Coturnix japonica: one gene and its partners. The protein of the gene in region 2 binds, or shares a complex with, the protein of the main gene of each other region. Links are inferred from orthologs where the notes say so. Each region holds a gene or a part of one and is shown on either strand. Other genes may lie near its edges. The genes, in order: TIMM10B, TIMM29, TIMM22, TIMM10 and AGK.

The links.
Region 1: TIMM29 (region 2) and TIMM10B share a complex: the UniProt entries of both Homo sapiens proteins name them as parts of the TIM22 complex. The link is inferred for Coturnix japonica from reciprocal best matches to the Homo sapiens genes TIMM29 and TIMM10B.
Region 3: TIMM29 (region 2) and TIMM22 share a complex: the UniProt entries of both Homo sapiens proteins name them as parts of the TIM22 complex. The link is inferred for Coturnix japonica from reciprocal best matches to the Homo sapiens genes TIMM29 and TIMM22.
Region 4: the proteins of TIMM29 (region 2) and TIMM10 are in contact, whole or in part, in a cryo-EM structure (PDB 7CGP), measured with the Homo sapiens proteins. The link is inferred for Coturnix japonica from reciprocal best matches to the Homo sapiens genes TIMM29 and TIMM10. Residues at the interface, in NP_612367.1 of Homo sapiens: Asp181, Asp183, Ile184, Asp186, Phe189, Leu192, Leu196, Arg197, Val199, Gln203, Leu204, Ser206, Asn209, Glu210, Leu212, Phe213, Asp214; in NP_036588.1 of Homo sapiens: His30, Arg31, Lys32, Cys33, Pro35, Pro36, Leu43, Ser44, Lys45, Gly46, Glu47, Ser48, Val49, Arg53.
Region 5: the proteins of TIMM29 (region 2) and AGK are in contact, whole or in part, in a cryo-EM structure (PDB 7CGP), measured with the Homo sapiens proteins. The link is inferred for Coturnix japonica from reciprocal best matches to the Homo sapiens genes TIMM29 and AGK. Residues at the interface, in NP_612367.1 of Homo sapiens: Tyr145, Gln146, Cys149, Arg150, Tyr151, Leu152, Gln153, Arg155; in NP_060708.1 of Homo sapiens: His33, Asn36, Arg39, Arg40, Cys43, Gln44, Gln47, Asn51, Lys82, Pro86, His89, Leu90.

Annotation. Positions count from the first base shown.
Region 1 is NC_029516.1:174,017,816-174,020,782, forward strand, and holds TIMM10B (mitochondrial import inner membrane translocase subunit Tim10 B), read right to left. Parts: upstream 1,520-2,967; 5' UTR 1,440-1,519; coding exon 1,398-1,439; intron 1,282-1,397; coding exon 1,186-1,281; intron 1,105-1,185; coding exon 913-1,104; 3' UTR 897-912; exon of another isoform or gene 774-896; 3' UTR 562-773; downstream 1-561. Other genes in the region: ARFIP2 (arfaptin-2), read left to right, coding at 2,155-2,253, 2,339-2,447. UniProt on the Homo sapiens protein: Component of the TIM22 complex, a complex that mediates the import and insertion of multi-pass transmembrane proteins into the mitochondrial inner membrane.
Region 2 is NW_015439913.1:16,269-20,348, reverse strand, and holds TIMM29 (mitochondrial import inner membrane translocase subunit Tim29), read right to left. Parts: upstream 2,811-4,080; 5' UTR 2,021-2,810; coding exon 1,406-2,020; 3' UTR 245-1,405; downstream 1-244. UniProt on the Homo sapiens protein: Component of the TIM22 complex, a complex that mediates the import and insertion of multi-pass transmembrane proteins into the mitochondrial inner membrane.
Region 3 is NC_029534.1:5,110,335-5,114,681, forward strand, and holds the start of TIMM22 (mitochondrial import inner membrane translocase subunit Tim22), read right to left. Parts: upstream 2,863-4,347; 5' UTR 2,848-2,862; coding exon 2,493-2,847; intron 1,773-2,492; coding exon 1,576-1,772; intron 613-1,575; coding exon 540-612; intron 1-539. UniProt on the Homo sapiens protein: Essential core component of the TIM22 complex, a complex that mediates the import and insertion of multi-pass transmembrane proteins into the mitochondrial inner membrane. In the TIM22 complex, it constitutes the voltage-activated and signal-gated channel.
Region 4 is NC_029520.1:7,775,234-7,777,751, forward strand, and holds TIMM10 (mitochondrial import inner membrane translocase subunit Tim10), read right to left. Parts: upstream 1,132-2,518; 5' UTR 1,064-1,131; coding exon 993-1,063; intron 821-992; coding exon 619-820; 3' UTR 532-618; downstream 1-531. Other genes in the region: SMTNL1 (smoothelin-like protein 1), read left to right, coding at 2,091-2,518.
Region 5 is NC_029516.1:55,068,927-55,072,499, reverse strand, and holds part of AGK (acylglycerol kinase, mitochondrial), read left to right. Parts: intron 1-714; coding exon 715-747; intron 748-2,674; coding exon 2,675-2,769; intron 2,770-3,573. UniProt on the Homo sapiens protein: Lipid kinase that can phosphorylate both monoacylglycerol and diacylglycerol to form lysophosphatidic acid (LPA) and phosphatidic acid (PA), respectively. Does not phosphorylate sphingosine. Phosphorylates ceramide.

The DNA of each region.
Region 1 (2,967 bases), on a different chromosome or scaffold from region 2:
GGGTGCTCTCCCGGCAGCTTATGGACTTGCTGGAGAACGTACCCAGTTTATGCTTTGTCCACAAGGTGGAAAATAATCTTAGGGGCCTCCAATGTTCACCAGATCTTTGGTTTTCCCATAGCTTAAGTAACGAAGGTCGACTTGTCTCAATTACTGGCACTTAAAGACCTTACATCTGTGTGCATTTGTCTACTCTTCTAAGTGCCAATGAAACCCATCAGAGGGAAGCCAGGGAACAGGGTATCACAGAATCATAGCATAGAATCACAGCATGGCCTGGGTTGCACACAGTGCTCATCCATCCCAACCCCCTGCTGTGTGCAGGGTCACAACCAGCAGCCAGGGCTGCCCAGAGCCGCATCCAGCCTGGCCTTGAATGCCTGCAGGGCTGGGAGCTGCAGCCTGTGCTGATGCTGCTCCAGCAGCAAGAACACAAAGAAACAGTTCCTAGAAGGAGCAAAGTGGGAACCTTTGCTGGGAGGAAGGTGCCGCTGGCAGCAGGACGCAGCACACAGCGCTGCTTGTGGAGCAGTGTCCGTGTACCCCTGTGACACACTGACAGCACGACACATAAAACGTTTTATTAACCCCATGAAATGGTCAAATACAAACACAAGATGTTCAGTTCTGGACAGCAGGAGCCCAGTCAGTGCTGGATTCCAGCCGGGAGCTGCAGTGCACACAGCAGCTCATACACGTTCCCTTCCTCCTCCTGCCCCCGGTGCCGTTGTGCTGCCGGTTTTGGCCGCCATGTCGGGCAGTCCCGGCTGCTGCTGTGGGTGCAGAGAACGCGGCTCGGCCTGGCCCGGCTGTGACACCGGGCAGTTCAGCGGCTCCACACGGGAGCTGCCATCAGGTGACCGTCCCGCAGCCACCTCCCGGCCACGGCAACGCACCGACCCCGCGGCTCCGTTACGTGCCCGCGGGAGCCGCGTCGGGATCAGCGGGAGCCGCTTCGTGTCCGTCCGGTGCGGCCGGTTCCGCGCTGTGCTCGGTGCGGGCGGCGCGGCGCTGCACGATGCCGGGCATCAAGGACACGTAGGCGCCCATCAGCCGGTGGTTGGAGCGGACCAGCTTCCCGGCGCAGCCGTCCAGGCACCGCTCCTACGGGCGGCACCGGCTCCGTTCGGCTCCGTTCACCCCGTCCCGTCCCGTCCCGTCCCGTCCCGCCCGGTCCCCGCTCACCTCGCGCCGTGACAGCAGCCGGTGCCCGAGGTCGGAGACGCAGCGGCGGAAGCAGAGCTCGGTCATGCGGTTGTACACCAGCAGGAAGTCCCGCAGCTGCAAAACAGCGGCACGTACGGTCACCGGGACGGCCCGGCACCGCCGAACCGGGACGAACCGAACCGAACCGAACCGGGCCGCCCACCATCTTCCCCCCGTCCCCCCACACTCACACTGCGGAGCTGCTGCTGCTGTTCGGCCGCCGCCGCCTCCATGTCGGCCCGCCCCGCGCTGCCGGAAGTACCGGCACTTCCGCCCCGCCGCACTTCCGCTCGGGGATCTACAGCACGTCACTTCCGGCTCGGTCTCCCGGCGCCCCCCGCGCGGGTCGTGACGTAACTTCCGGCGCGTCCGGGCCGAGGCGGATCGAGGCCGCGGAGCCTCCGGGGCGGGGGGGCCCAGCGGGGCCGGGCGGGGCAGGTGGGACATAACGGGACATAACGGGACATAACGGGACGGGCTGGGCTGGGCTGGGCTGGGCTGAAGGTCGGGGTGAAGGTCGGGCCCCGGGTGGGAGCCGGGCTGGGAGCCCCGGTGCCGCCGCAGGGCCCGGCCGTGCAGTGACAGCCCGGCCTTTGGGCCGCCCCGGTCCCGTCCCGGTTCCTGGTGCCGTTGCAGCCGCTGCTCGTGTCGCTCCTGCTCGTCCCGCCCGGGCTCTCGGTGCTCGTTGGCTCCGAGCGGCGGCTGCGAGTCCCGGGCCGGGCCGCAGCGCTGCCCCCAATGCCGGTACCGAGGGGCGGGTCCAGCTCGTGATAACGGCGCTCGGTGCGGGCGGGGCGATGCTCGGAATGTGACCGGACCGGTCCGGCCGGGCCCTGCCGCGCTCTGCCGACGTGGCCCCGAGCCCCGCGCCAGGAGCCGTGGGGAGCTCGGACCGAGGGGACACGAGGAGCCCCGTGAACGAACCGTGTGTCCCCGCAGGCCCTGACCATGTCGGATGGGATCATGAGCAAAGCCGCCACCATGGAGATCCCCATCAGCAGCAACGGGGACGCCGGCAGCCTGCCCGAAGATGACGGCCTGGAGCAGGTGTGGGGCTGCGCCGGGGCCTCACGTCGGCCCCATGGGTTGGGGGTCTGTCCTTGTGCTTCAATTTAATGCTCTGCTCCCCCAGGACCTGCAGCAAGTGATGGTGTCGGGGCCCAACCTCAACGAAACCAGCATCGTGTCTGGTGGCTACGGGGGAACCGCTGAAGGCATCATCCCCACCGGCACCATCAAAGGTACAAACGGCTTCCACAGGGACGGGGCTGTGGGTGGGGGTCAGCTGGGTGTTCTGCTGGAGGCTTTAGGGCTCAGTGCTGGGGTCACAGCCCACCCTGCTGCAGCCCTGAACGGGGCCAGTCTGTGTCCCTGCTCCCAGCAGCTCTGCTCGTAGCTGAGGCCGTCCTGAGTCACAGCCACGTGGCCCTGCAGAGCTCAGCCTCCTCACAGCCCCAGAGCACAGCACTGCTGCCACCCCGCCAATGCTGTGGGGCCCATCCTGGGGGTGTGATTTCCACCCAGCTGCACTTCTTACCCTGCACGTGCCCTTGGCTCACAGGCAGCTGTGGAGATGCCTGGCTCTCTCGTAGATGCAGGGCTTCTGCTGAGGGAGCTGCTCTGCCCTCCTGGGGCACTGGTGTGATGTGTGGGCTCAGCTCTTGGGTATCCAAGAGCCCCAAAGGTGCACAGTACTGGCACAGCTGTGGTGGCTGCACCTGAGAGACACCTTTCAGACAGAGGGGGACAGGGCAGAAGGGT
Region 2 (4,080 bases):
GAAATAGGGGAAATGGGCAGAGGGGAAATAGGGGGGAAAGGGGGGATATAGGGGGAAAACAAGGAGGATATAGGGGGTAAATGGGGGATATAGGGGGGAAATAAGGGGGATATAGGGGGAAATGGGAGGGAAATAGGAGGAAAAGGGGGAAAATGGGGGGGAAATAGGGGGTAAATGGGTCATATAGGGCAGCTTTGGGGCTGGGGAGAGGGGGACGAAGTGGTTCAAAATGGGCTGAAAAAGCGCAGATTTGGGGTTCTCGTTTATGGAGGGCTGAAAGCAGCACTGGGCTGCAGCGCTCAGTGGGTCAATGAATGCACTGTAATGTCCAACACCGGCCGGTACCGACAAACAAACGACGGTACCGAGAGCCACCGGTCCCTATAGCCGCCGGTACCGAGAGTCGCCGATGTCAACAGCGGCCAGTACCGATAGCAGCCGGTACCAACAGACAGCTGCCGGTCCCGATAGCTGTCAGTGCTAATAGCCGCCGGTACCAAGAACCGCCGGTACCGAGAGCCGCCGATACCGATAGCAGCCAGTACCGAGAGCTGCCGGAACCAATATCTGCCAGTACTGAGAGCTGCTGGTACCGAGAACCACCAGTACCAAGAGCTACCAGTACTGACAAATAGCCGCCGGTACCGATAGCCACCAGTACCGAGAGCTGCTGGTACCGATAGCTGATGGTCCTGAGAGCTGCCGGTATCAATAGCAGCCGGTACCGAGAGACACCAGTCCCAATAGCTGCCGGTGCTGACAGCCGCTGGTACCGACAGCCGCTGGTGCCAAGAGCCACCGGTACCGAGAGCTGCCGGTACCGAGAGCCACCGGTGCCAATAGCTGCCAGTACTGAGAGCCACTGGTGCCGAGAGCTACCGGTTCTGAGAGCCGCCGGTACCAAGAACCGCTGGTGCTGAGAGCCACTGATACCGATAGCGGCCAGTACCAAGAGCTGCTGGTCCTGATAGCTGCTGGTACCAGGAGCCGCCGGTTCTGAAAGTCACTGGTACCAATAGTGGCTGGTGCCAACAGCCGCCGGTATCAATAGCGGCCAGTACTGATAACCACTGGTATTGATAGCTGCCGGTACCGATAACCACTGGTATCGATAGCTGCTGGTACCGATAACCGCTGGTACCGATAGCGGCTGGTACCGATAACCGCTGGTATCGATAGCTGCCGGTACCAAGAGCCACCGGTGCCAATAGCTGCCAGTACCGATAACCGCTGGTATCGATAGCTGCCGGTACCGATAACCGCCGGTACCGATAGCGGCTGGTACCGATAACCGCTGGTACCGATAGCTGCTGGTACCGATAACCGCTGGTATCGATAGCTGCCGGTACCAATAACCGCCGGTACCGATAGCGGCCAGTCCCACCCTCCCGGCGCGTTGCCCCGCTCAGTCCCCATCATCTCCCCGTGGCATCAGCACTGTGGGTCGTTCCCGTCGCTCCCGGAGCCGCTCGGTGCCGTCGCTGTGGAGCTGCTCGGGCCGGACCCGCTGCAGGGCGTCGGGCAGAGCCGCGAACTCCTCATCGTTAATGTCACAGTCCTGGAGCTTCGCCTCCAGCACCCACCAGCGCCCGGCGAACCCCACGTCCCACACCCGCTTCCACCGGGGCCGTACGTGGGGACACCGAGCTCCGTACAGCGCCACGGCGGCGTCGTGCGGCTCCTCGTACAGCACGGCCAGCAGCACCAGCTGCCGGTACCGGAGCTGCCCGCGGTCCCGGCGCCGTTGAAGCCGTTGGACGTGACGTTCGGTCGCCATGTTCCGAGTGTTGGGGGGCAGCAGCAGCAGCGCGGATGCGGCGTCCAGCAGCGCCGCGTCGAATGAACGTCGGTCCGGGACGGTTCTGATGGCGGCCACAGCTCCCCCCATTGATACCAACACGGATCCCGCAGCCACCGGACGGCGCCGGGCCCAACGCAGCGTGTCCCAAAGCGCCTCCGTGTAGTCCCGAAGTACGGCACGGAACCAGCGGCCTATTAATGGGGGGGTTGTTAGAACCATCCCGGTGCTGTGTGATACCGGGACCCCAAGGTGCGATACCGGCACCCCAAGGTGTGATACCGGGACCCCAAGGTGCGATAGCGGGACCCCGAGGTGTGATACCGGGACCCCGAGGTGTGATACCAGGACCCCGAGGTGTGATACCGGGACCCCAAGGTGCGATACTGGGACCCCAAGGTGTGATACCGGAACCCCGAGGTGTGATACCGGGACCCTGAGGTGTGATACCGGGACCCCAAGGTGCGATACCGGGACCCCAAGGTGCGATACCGGGACCCTGAGGTGCAATACTGGCACCCCGAGGTGTGATACCGGGACCCCAAGGTGCGATACCGGGACCCCAAGGTGTGATACCGGGACCCCAAGGTGTGATACCAGGACCCCAAGGTGCGATACCGGGACCCGAGGTGTGATACCGGGACCCCAAGGTGTGATACTGGCACCCCAAGGTGTGATACCGGGACCCCAAGGTGCGATACCGGGACCCTGAGGTGCAATACTGGCACCCCAAGGTGTGATACCGGGACCCCAAGGTGCGATACCGTCACCCCAAGGTGTGATACCGGGACCTGGTGTGCGATACCGGGACCCCGAGGTGTGATACCGGGACCCCAAGGTGCGATACCGGCACCCCAAGGTGCGATACCGGGACCCCGAGGTGTGATACCAGGACCCCAAGGTGTGATACCAGGACCCCAAGGTGTGATACCGGGACCCCAAGGTGCGATACCGGGACCCCAAGGTGTGATACCGGGACCCCAAGGTGTGATACCGGGACCCCAAGGTCGTGATACCGACCCAAGGTCGATCCGGGCACCCAAGGTTGCTCCTGGCACCCCAGGTGTGATACCGGGACCACTGATGCATGTGATACCGGCGATCCCCAAAGTCGATGATACCGGACCCAGTGTGGAAGCCGGACCTGATGGTGTGATACGGCCCCAAGGTGCCATACCGGCACCCGAGGTGTGATCCCCTAAACACCCCCCCTCAAACCTATACCCCCAAAACACCCCTACCCCCCTATAATAGCCCCACTCCCCAACACCCCCTAGCCTCCCCAAACCCCCCACCCGTCAACCAGACTGTGTGCTATCGGGCTGTTTTCAAACCCCCAACACCTAAGCCCCCTTCAGACACCCTCCCACCCTGATCATAGACCGCCCTGAGGCTGATCCATAGACCAGCCCAAGAGTCTGAGTCCATAGAACCCGCCCTGGTCTGATCCATAGAGTCTGATCCATAGTAACCCGGCCCAGGGTCCGGATCCATAGAGCCAGCCCCATGTGTCTGATCCATAGAAACCCGGCCCCATAGAGTCTGATCCCATAGAACCGGCCCCATAGCGAGTTGGATCCCATAGAACCGGCCCATGGAGTCTGATCCCATAGACCCCCCGGCCCCTAGAGTCTTTGATCCCATAGAACCCGGCCCATAGGTCGTCTGATCCCTAGACCCGGCCCATAGAGTCTTCCTAGAACCCGGCCCATTGGTCTGATCCCATATGAAACCACGGCCCCAAGAGTCTGATCCCATAGAACCGTGCCCCATAGGTCTGATCATAGAACCGGCCCATAGAGTCGTGGCTCCATAGAACCCGGCCCCAAGGTCTGATCCCATAGAGCCCGCCATAGTGTCTGATGCCATAGACCCGCCCATAGAGTCTGATGCCATAGACCGGCCCTAGAACCTTGGCCATTGAGTCTGATCCAGTAGAACCGGCCCCATAGGTCTTGATCCCATAGAGAACCCGGCCCCATCGAGTTCTGGATCCCATAGACCCGGCCCCATAGGAGGTCTGATCCCATAGAACCACGGGCCCCATAGAGTCTGATCCCATAGAACCCGGCCCAAGACGTTTGATCTCCATGAACCCGCCCCATCAGAGTCTCGATCCATAGAGCCCACCCCATCGAAGTCTGATCCCATAGAACCCGCCCCATAGAGTCTGATCAGTAGACCGGCCCCATGAGTTGATCCATTAGAGCCCGCCCTGAGTCTGTCCATAGACCCGGCCATGAGAGTCTTGATCCCATAAACCGGCCCATGAGTCTTGATCC
Region 3 (4,347 bases), on a different chromosome or scaffold from region 2:
AGCTTCCCAAGAAGTCCCCTCTAGGTCCTGCTGGACTAAAATCTCAGTGCTCCTGCTCTTGTACAGCTACATAGAATTGCCTCTTTGAGACAGGAGAAAGGAGGGAGGCATTGTACAAGCTGATCAAGTTAACAGAGTTCCTGCCAGTGAAACAATATATCTAAGTAGAGCTCTATTAACACAAGAGCTGTAACTTCAGCGAGTTGCTCAGAACATATTTTTGGCTCCCTCTCCATGACACCCCAGTAGCATGTGGAGAGCTACCAGCACCATTTCCTCATTTGCTTTCAAGTCACTTCTGTTCATTTCTCTCCGCTCTCCCTGTCCTGTACAACCAGCCTTCCCTACCCACACATATCTTTCAAGATGACAGGAAAGAGACAGAGATGACAGTTCTGCCAACTTCAAGCACATTCTCATGCTGACATCAACATAACCCCATACAGAGAGATTTGCAGCGTGCGTTGCCTTAAAAATGCTGCTTGTTACCATCCCAAATTGCTGCCTTATCACAGCAGTTGCTACCAGGCATCACCAACCTCTGAAGCCAATCGCTCCTCCTGTGATGCAGCCACTAATAACGCTGTTCCTCCAGTCTGACTTTCCACGATACTGTGGAGTTAAAAAACAAGAGACAACAAGTAAACATGGAATAACAATTCGACATCTGTACTAACACCAAGGGAGGTGAAGCCTTCCAGCCCTGTTTCAGATGAGGATGCTTTTCCTTCTGCTCTCAGCAGATGGCCCCCCTGCACTGTAAAAGTTTTTATGTGGCCAGGAGGAGGGGAAGGAGCAGGTCAGCAGGAGAGGTAAGACACATCCGCATGGTGCAATGCAGTGCTACAGCACACTCTCAGATGAGCCCATACAGCCCCCACAAGGCAGCACAGTGCACCGGCACCAGCTCACAGACAATTTAAAGGCACTGTGAGCACAGCATGGCCATGCAGCCATGAGAGCAAACAGCAGCCTGCGGGCAAACATTAGCTATTAGCTAGTTTTTCACCAGTGCAACGTGTTTGTTCTGCTTCGTTGTGCACACAGATACACTTTTCTTTTACACGGATTAAGAACTAATTGTGTTTTTCGATTGAAGGACAGTACTGACATTCATAACAGGCTCATCTTCCTATTTAAGAAAACGGGTGATAGCTTTACCACTGAGCAGCACGAGGTCGTTTCCTGCTGTAGGGGCAAGATGAAAACAGCCCTATTACTTCAGATCTTTCATCAAAGGATCCCTTTCTTCACATGTACTTTTTAGAGGCTCAGATGGCCACGTTGCAACTCCCAGTTTGATGTTTTAACACAACTATGAGTTGTTTGGAGCTAAAGTTTCAAAAATCAATGCCAAAATCCAGGACTTGAACTGGAAAGCTCTTCACTGTTGCATGCAGCTCTGCTTATTCCAACACAGAACAGTTCTGAAAACCTTTAGAACTGAAAAGCTTAAATGATCAAGAAGCAAAAGGCAACGAGCCAATCCCTCACCACAGTGGTTTGGACTCATGAAAGGCGCTCAATGGTGTATAATAAAAGCTCCCATAGTAACGTTTGAGGGTCGTTACTCACCGATTCCACCACGCACTCGGTGCAGGAGAACATGGCGCCCACAATGGCGAAGTTCTTGGCGTAGGAAATGCCGCGCTGCCCCATGTCCTTCAGCACCTCCTTGGCTGTCGGGGTGCGATACGGGTCCTTGGGGTCGAAGCCCACATTGGTGTCGATGCCAGCAGTGAAGATCCCAAAGGCTCCTCCAAGAACAAACCCTGGGGAAGACAACAGCTATGAAATGAAGCTCTGGATTGGAGCAGTGATCCAACACTCACAGGGTTAGAGCTGCTCTGGTCTTAAGGGCAGCATGAAGGGCTGATGTGCTGCAGACACTGATCTGATCACAGAATCACAGAATTGTAGGGGTTGGAAGGGACCTCTAGAGATCATCAAGTCCAACCCCCCTGCCAAAGCAGGCTCCCTACACCACATCACACAGGTAGGCATCCAGGTGGGTCTTAAATATCTCCAGAGAAGGAGACTCCACCACCTCCCTGTGCAGCCTGTTCCAGTGCTCCGTCACCCTCGCTGTAAAGAAGTTCTTATTAAGGAACTTCCTATGCTGTACTTTCATCCCATTAGCCCTAGTCCTGTCCCCACGCACTACTGAAAAGAGACCAGCCTCACCACTATGGCCCCCACACCTCAGGTATTTATAAACCTGGATCCAATCCCCTCTCAACCTTCTTTTCTCAAGGCTAAACAGACCCAGTTCCCTGAGTCTCTCCTCATAGGGGAGATGCTCCAGGCCCTTCACCATCTTAGTGCCCCCTTTAGTGCAGGCACACAGCACAGAGAGTTCTATCTTAAACTGGAGGGGAAGGTGGGAGCCCCTTCCCCGTGTCCATGGGCTGGAATTGCCCTTAAGATCTGACAGACCCTCATCCCCCCCCTCAGCCCCAACCCAACACCGTGTGTCCCCCACCCCCCCTCACCCCCCACGCAGGCCAAGGCCGCTTTGAAGGCGCAGCTCTCCATGGCTCTCTCCACCATCTTCTGCTCGTCGCTCTTGTTCGGGCAGGGGATGCCCCCGAAGCTGTTGGGGTCCCACACTCGGGGTCGGCGTTGCTCGCCCACCAGGTGCTGCAGCACAGCGCTGTATTGCAGCGGAGGCTGCGAACCGCCCGGCGGTGCGGCCGCCATTATTGTCCTCCGCGTAACGAGGAACCGGCAGCGCGGCTTCCGTAGCGCGCGGGGGTTGATGGGTGTTGTAGTTTCACTAACAGAGACTCCCGCTGTGAGGCGCGCTGCCGAGACTCCATTTCCCAGCGTTCCCCGCGGCAGCGCCATGACACTGAACTACAGCTCTCGGCGTGCTTTGCGGAGAGACACGCGATTGGCCGCGCTGAGGGCTGGGAGCCCCGTTACCCGGCGTACAGCGCCCCCTGGTGGCCATTGGGGGCGGTGCAGTGAGGTGAGCGCTCCGGCTGCACGAGCATCCAACGGGGCGGCAGCGATAAGAGGCAGCGATAGGAGACTGCGATAAGAGGCAGCGATAGGAGGTGAGAGCGGCTACGGGGGGGATGGAGCGGGGATGGGACGGCCACGGGGATGGGGAGGGATGAGGAGCCGCAGTGCGGGGCCGATCTGCCTCCGGTGTGTCGTTAAGCTCGGAGGGGTCGTTAAGCTTTGAGGGGTCGCTCCGTTCCCGGAGTGACTTCTATCTTTAGGGATAACAGCTCAACCTCAACACGGGGCTGAGAGCTGCGGGTCCTGCCGTGGTCGTTCTGCACAGCCCCGGGCTGAGCCCTGCGGGTGGGTGTCCCCCTCGTAGCACTCAGGGCTCAGCTGAGCTGTGCGTGGTGCTGGGATCATCCTGCGGCCCATCCGAGCAGCACTGCGCTGCCCCGGGCACACGGAGAGGCAGCTTGACATCAAAGGTGCTTAGAGAGCAAAAAAAGTCTGTCTTTTTGTCATAAAATGCAAACCGAGCTCGCAGCGAGTCATATAGAAACCTCAGCCCTTCCGCGCTTACCCTGTTTGGTAGCAGGGTGGGAAACTCTTCTTCTGTGCCCCCCCTCAGCTGAACGAGGAGGAGCTGCCAAGGTTTAAAGCCTTCACCCACACGCTCTGTGCCTTGTGTTGCTGTTCTGTGCAGCAGGAGCAGCGCTCTGCTCAGCCCAGCACGATGCAGGTGGGTCTGCTTGGAAGGAATAGCCTGGTTGGCTTCAATGTTGGCTTGGTTTAACTTTAGAAGTTGCCCACAGGTTTTGAAGCCCTGAGGTGGTTTCAGCAGATGAGATGAGGTGGCTTCAGATCGTTGTGCTGAGAACTGAAAACGATATCAAAGATCTGTTGGTTGTTCTTAAGTGATGTGTTAAGTGTGACATCTTCCTGATGCCATTCATTGCTCTGAATGGGGACTGCTTAGAAACCCAAAGGATCCACAATCATTTATTTTCTATTTCTTTTCATTTTTAACATTTCTTGCCCTGTATCTTGTCTGTGCTGGATACGCAGGTTCAAATAACAACCTGGTTTGATGGTTCTTCAAATGAAGTGATGGTGTTATTTTCAATAACTTTCCTCTTTTCCTATTAAATTCCACTGCCCTCTGCTGGCTGGACCATCAGACCTGCCCAGAGCTCTTCCCCCACTATTCTTTTACTCTTTAAGGCTTTTTATATCTTAAGGTCAGAAGCTGTTGCAAAGCTTGCTGTTAATGTCTACTACAATGGGATCCTTATACAAAAGAGGAGGTTGGTGGCAGGTTGAGCTCCCTAAGGAGCCCTGAACTGTAGATCTCAATCTTCTCTTTGATCCACACTAACCTAGTTGGGCTGATCTTGA
Region 4 (2,518 bases), on a different chromosome or scaffold from region 2:
CCAGCCCCGGGGACACACCGGCACAGGCGCACTGTGTGTGTACGGGTGGATGGACACACAGTGCCCACCCCCAGGCTGGGGTGTCTCTGGCTGGGTGTTCCCATCTAGTAACCCTGTGCAGGTCTTCCCTACACATGTGTGCACATCTGTATGTGTGGCTCTGGGGTTGTTTCCATCCAGGTGTCCCCCCCTAAGTGTCCCCACGTGGGTGTCCCTGTGTGGTCCTTTTCCAGGTGTGGAAAGGGCACTGTCCCTCTCCAGCCATCCATACCAAATGTCTCTGTGCCTGTCCCCATGCAGGTGTGCTGTTTTCTCACTGCCCCCCTGCAGGTGTCCCTTTGTGGCCATTTCTCCAGGTGCTCCCCAGTGTCCCCCCAGCAAGCAGAGTGAGGGGCACAGCCCTGTCCTGACCCCATAAGGGATAAGGAAGGTTTCAGCCTATCCCCGAGGCTGACGTGGGCACAGCAGACACGCCGGGGTGCCCCCATCTCCAGTAGGTTAGTGGGACACCCCCTGACACAGCACCACAGACGGGTTTGGGGGGCCGAGGGAAGCACACAGCTGGCCCAGAGCCTCCAGTTTATTGGTACGATGGGAAGGGGAGTCCGAAGGGAGGGCTCAGGCGGTGCCCGTGCCCTGCTGCATGCGCTTCAGGAGCTCCTCGTCCTGCAGCGACAGCTCCGTCAGCTTCTTGCCCATCCGCTCGTGCACATCCAGGTACTTGGCCACGCAGCGGTCCAGGCACACGCTCTCGCCTTTCGACAGCTCCGCCTCCTTGTAGTGTGGGGGCACGCACTTGAGGTGACACGCCTGCGTCATCCTGAGGGACAACACCGTCACCCCACGGCTCTGCCCGGCACCCCCCACCCCCGGCACCCGCACAGCCCCCGCACAGCCCCCACCCGCGACACCCACGCGCCTCTCGCTCTCCCAGCCCCTCCCTGTCCCGGGCACTACCCCCAGGCCCCGGCCCGTCCCGTCAGGCCGCGCACCGGTTGTACATGTCGGCCATCATGTCCACCTCCAGCTCTGCCGCCAGCTGCTGTGCCCGCAGCGGGTCCATGTCGCTCCCGCACCGCGCTCCCGCAGGATGCACGTGGGACGCGCTTCCGCCCACACGCTCAGGCGCTCCGCCCCGCCGCCGCTCTCGGTCAATAGGAGACGGGTGGGGGCGGGACAACGGCTCGTTCTCAGCGCTGATGGGACGTGGGGAGCGGTGCGGAGCGGGGTGGGCGGGGGCAGGCGATGGAGGGCAGGGATGGATCGGGGCCGGCCCGGCCCACGCGTGACCTCCGCGTGTCCCCGTGGGTCTGCCCTCACGGCTCTGCCCCCTCGTGTCTGTGTCTGCTACGGGTCTATGGCCCCGTGTCCCTCTATGTCAATGTGTCCCCTATGTCCCCCCACAGATCAGGGCACTCTGTGTTCCCTTTGTCACCCTTCTCTCCCATATATGTGTCCCCCGTGTCCCCTCGTGTCCCACGCATCACCCATCTCCTCCATGTGCCGTGTCTCCGTGCCCACTCGTGACCCTCATATCCCCCCGATATCGCCTCCACGTCCCCCCATGTCCTCACGTGCACGCGTCCCCCCGTGTCCGTGTCCCTGTGTCCCCGTTCCATCCCGCAGTCCCCGCTATCCCCAGGCCCCGCCCGGCCTCCTCTCCCCCCCGTCCCGTCCCGTCCCCTCCCCGCTGTGCCCCTCTCCGGCCCCCGACCCGCCCCGTCGGCGCTGACTGAAGGCGGCACCTGCGGCGGTCACACGGCCGCGGGGAGAGCGGAGAGCGGTGAGCCGGGATATGGGGCGCCGGGGGGCTGGGGGGGACGTCGGGGGTTTGGGGTGAGAAACGAGGATAGGACGGGATGGAGGGGGGTCGGGGTTGGGGGTAGGGAGTGAGTTGTGGAGTTGGGACTGAGCTGGAGGAGCTGGGAGGGGGCAGGAGGAAAACATGAATGGGGAATGGGTTGGGTTGGGGTGTGCAGGGGGGAGGGAGGGGTTTGGGGACAGGAGTGGGGGGTGGGGGTTGGGTCGAGGTGGATGGGAAGGGATAAATAATGGGGATGGGATGGGGACTGGGAGCTGTGTTGGGGCCGATGGGGTGGGCGGGCAGGAGGAACGCTGAGGGACAGAAGTGCAATGGGATTGCATGGGGTGGAAGGCACGGTGGATACTTCAGTGACAACCCTGCAGCCCACAGTAGGAGCATGGAGTCCACAACAACCGATGGAGCCCCAACCCCAAATGACACTGCCCTGGGTGACCTCACACAGACATCAACAGGGCCCACAGAGGGGATGGTGGGGGGGGACAGCGGGGAAAGTGCAGCACAGGAAGGGCAGGGGGAGGCTGGGGGGGATGAAGGGGGCGCTGGGGGGGAGAGTGCAGGGGATACGAGGATTGGGGGCGAGGTAGAAGCAGAGAAGAACTGTGGGAGTGAGGCTAAGGGGGAGGCAGTAGGGGATGCTGTGAGTGAGGTCAGCATGGCAGGAGATGCTGGGAGTGAGGCTAAGGGGGAGGATGC
Region 5 (3,573 bases), on a different chromosome or scaffold from region 2:
TTACTCCACAATGAGAAAATTATTTGGGGAGAATTGTTTCCAACTTTTTCTTTCTGTGCAATGTAACTGTAATGGTTTAATTTTCAAAGTTCATTCCCAGCCTATCTATACTTCTGAAGATGAATGGAAGTTTTCCTAAACAGGAATCAAAAAATTTAATATTTATATGGGAGCGATAGTAAGCGTGGTATGTATTTAATAAATGTCTTTTGTCAAGTCAATTAATGGCAAGAGCACACTGCCAACAGAACTGGAGAATACTCTCTTTCAAGGCGGGTTGTTTTTTACCAAAGTATTTCCTGGAATGCTAAGTACTGATTTCATCAGGCAATGGCTAAATGAAATGCAATGATTTTAAAAGAAAGTGGTTGGAATCCATCTAGACGTTTCTCCTACCTTAAAATCAATTATTGTTAATTGTACACTGAACCGTGCTGTTCTAGAATTTATGCAGGGCTGTCTGGGTCTATTCTATGTTAAAACGTTTATGCTGGCATCAGTTGTGATGTCAATACATACTCATGTGCACTCAGCTCTGCTGTTTGCACCATGTTTGCTCACTGGATTTGTGTCCTTTCCCATGCAAGCAATAGTAAAAAAAAGAGTAGCTGCTTCTTAAATCTTTGCAAAAGATAAATATGTATAATTTTTCATAGCTTTCTACTGTCACTGCAAACAGAATTCTCAAAGATGAGCCTTTCTCTTGTTTTCCAGGTCATAACTGGACTTCTTCGCAGAGCGGATGAGGTGAGGAAGTTTATTTCCTAGAAAAGGTGTCTTGTGAATCCACTGTGATCTCTTGGTCCAGCCTGGCTTTTGCAGATGTTGTTGCTTACTAATACCAAGCCAGTTTACTATGTAATGAGGCAGCCATGCTGGTGTCCTGCAATACTTCCCGTTGTTCTTCATTTCCTTTCTTGGGGAGTACAGTGTATCTCAAGCCATGTCTTTGGGGAATTTCCAGCTACAGAGCAGGATTTATTAAGGAGCCAAATGCACAACTTTCAGACACCTATATACAGCTGTGTATGCTTTGTGTGGCACTAGTATTGGGCAAAAAATGCAGGTTTTTCTTGTATTTGTGCAGACTTGAAACTGAATTTAGGTTTGCCCATGCCCATGGTGTTTTATGATTGTTTTGCCTTTTCTTCAAGCAGTGAGTCTCCCTGTGCAGATCGCCACAGAGAACTAATTGTAACCTCTCAAGGTAGATCCCTCTTAATGGAAATGAGATTTTTCTGAAAATCTTCTGACAGTGCTATTGAAGAAACCCAAAACCTTCTGGCAGGAGCTGGCAAAAGCTGAACTAAATGATCCAGAGAAGATTCTGATGGTATCCTTGGCAGCTAGAACTGTATCTGTTTAGGCAGTTGCCTTGTCTGAGTGTGGCAAGAGAAACTCTGCAGCTCTGCCAGTGTTTTTTGTGAGGTGCTAGCTGTATTCATTCTGAGACATCATGTGTTCTTAAATTTAGTGTTGTTATAACTGACCCCTAAGACCTCTGCAATCTAAGGATTCTGAAAGAAACATTGTGGAGGCTTTACTGGCTAGTTACTTCTTTTGTATTTTTGTCTTATCTTGATGTAGCTCGTGTTGATCTGCAGTAACAGAAAATTCTGCAACCAGTACTGTTTTTGGGTGGATTACTGCCCTGTGACATTGCCACTGTGTCACTTCATGTCTTTGGCCTGCAAATTCTTCTTGCCCTTCATATCACTCTGTCCTAGGAGTGAAAACCTGCAGCTCAGTCCCCTCAGTTTGAGCTCTGCTTCCCTTTCTTGGGTATGTCATGCCACTGTTGTCTGGATAAGGAGAGCTTGTGCAAGGTGTTCCAGAAACATGGGTCCTAGTAGCCAAGGGAACAGAGCTTGCTGCATTTGCTGTGAGCAGCCTATCTTCTGCAAGCTGTAAAGCAGTGCTGAAGATGAGCAAAGGATGTTTGAGGTGTGTTAAGACTTGCAGGTGAGACAGAGATAACAAGGGAGAGCAGGTAGGCATGAAGTGAGAGCGATGTTGTTTAGCCAGCATGGATTTGCAGTGCTGTGGCACTGCTGATAGCAGCACCCAAAAGGGAGATGGTACATTGTGATATGCAGTAGTTTACACTGATTTGCTGACATGATCCAAGAAGCACAGTTTATTTTGAGGTACAGTGTAATAACTTGCTCCTCCAACGAGCTCTTTTGCTGAACTGAAAAGTAACATGGTCAGTGAGTTTCAAAAATTAGACCTTCTGCTGCTTCGTGATTTGGATGCAGGAGGAATCCACTAATTTCCTTTTCTTAACTGAAAAAATCTCTTTGCCATACAAGGTTACTCTACCAGAGTGGCATTTCTGCAGTGGTAAATGAGATTCAGAGCTTGCTCTGGCTCCATCAGTATTAAGAAAGATGGCAGATTGCTGACAGAATCCATGCATTAGTTAGGATGTGTGTGCCAACCTGCACGTAACAATGCTTGTAATGATTACAGAGAGCTCCTTTGCACCCAGTTGGCAGTGGTGGGTTCAGAGATTTGGATGCCATGTTCTGAGTCATTATGTATTACTGCCTCATTTAAGGAAGTGCCTGGCTGCTTAGTGCCAGAGGGGTGATATCAGACACAGCTGTGGTCTCCATACAGAAAGCTTCATTCAACTGATGCAAATGTTATTTTACTCCCCTTGTGTGTCCAGGCTGCTTTCAGTAAGATTCCTATAGGATTCATACCTCTTGGAAAGACCTGCACATTGAGCCACACTCTCTACCCTGAGAGTGTGAACCAAGTACAGTAAGTATTAAGTGTTTCTGAAATGCAGCTTTTGTTTGTTTTCAAGAAGCAGTGCTTCTTGGTAGTTCGACGCTTTCTTTTTCTTCTATATTACATAGAAATTGGCGGTCTCTGGGCAGAGCCTGATGATTCGGTTTGATATAAAATTGTTTTGTCCACTTCGAAACTGAAGTCTAGTCAATTAATCTCTCTTTTCCTCACACTTAATTCCCTTTTGATATTTCCTTCCTTTCCTTCCATGCTAACAAGTATATTTCTCCTTGCTACTGAAATCTGTTCACTCTGGTTCTCCCAGTGACTAATTAGCATTCTTATTCAGTGGGCCCTTGCTGGTGTCCATCACACATAAAGTCCATGATCCAACTGGCATAACATCCTTCATTAATGCCACCGGAGTGCTTTGAAGCTCAGCAGGATGGACAAGGTTGCAATCAGTAGCAAAGATTAAAATAATAATTTATATTTGAGTTCTAAAGAAGCTGTTTGAAATGAGTAATCTTCTTGCCCCCAGGTAATGAACTGTGCAGGTGATACTGCAGCATACCGGTGAAGCTGAAAGGAATTTGGTCAGTAGGTTGCTGAACAACCCACACATGTATCAGAACCTGACTTTTGGAAGTGATATTTTATAAAGAAACACTTTGGTTCCTTTGTCACTGTTAGAGCTATTCTTTGGAGTGTAGGAATTGCAGAGATAGTGAGGGAAGGCAGGAGCCAGGAGAAAAGAAAGTCTGCGAAAGAAACAGCTTCCTTCTCTGTCTCAGTGTCCTAAGCCTGATGAAGCCAAAGGCGGTTTGACTTGTT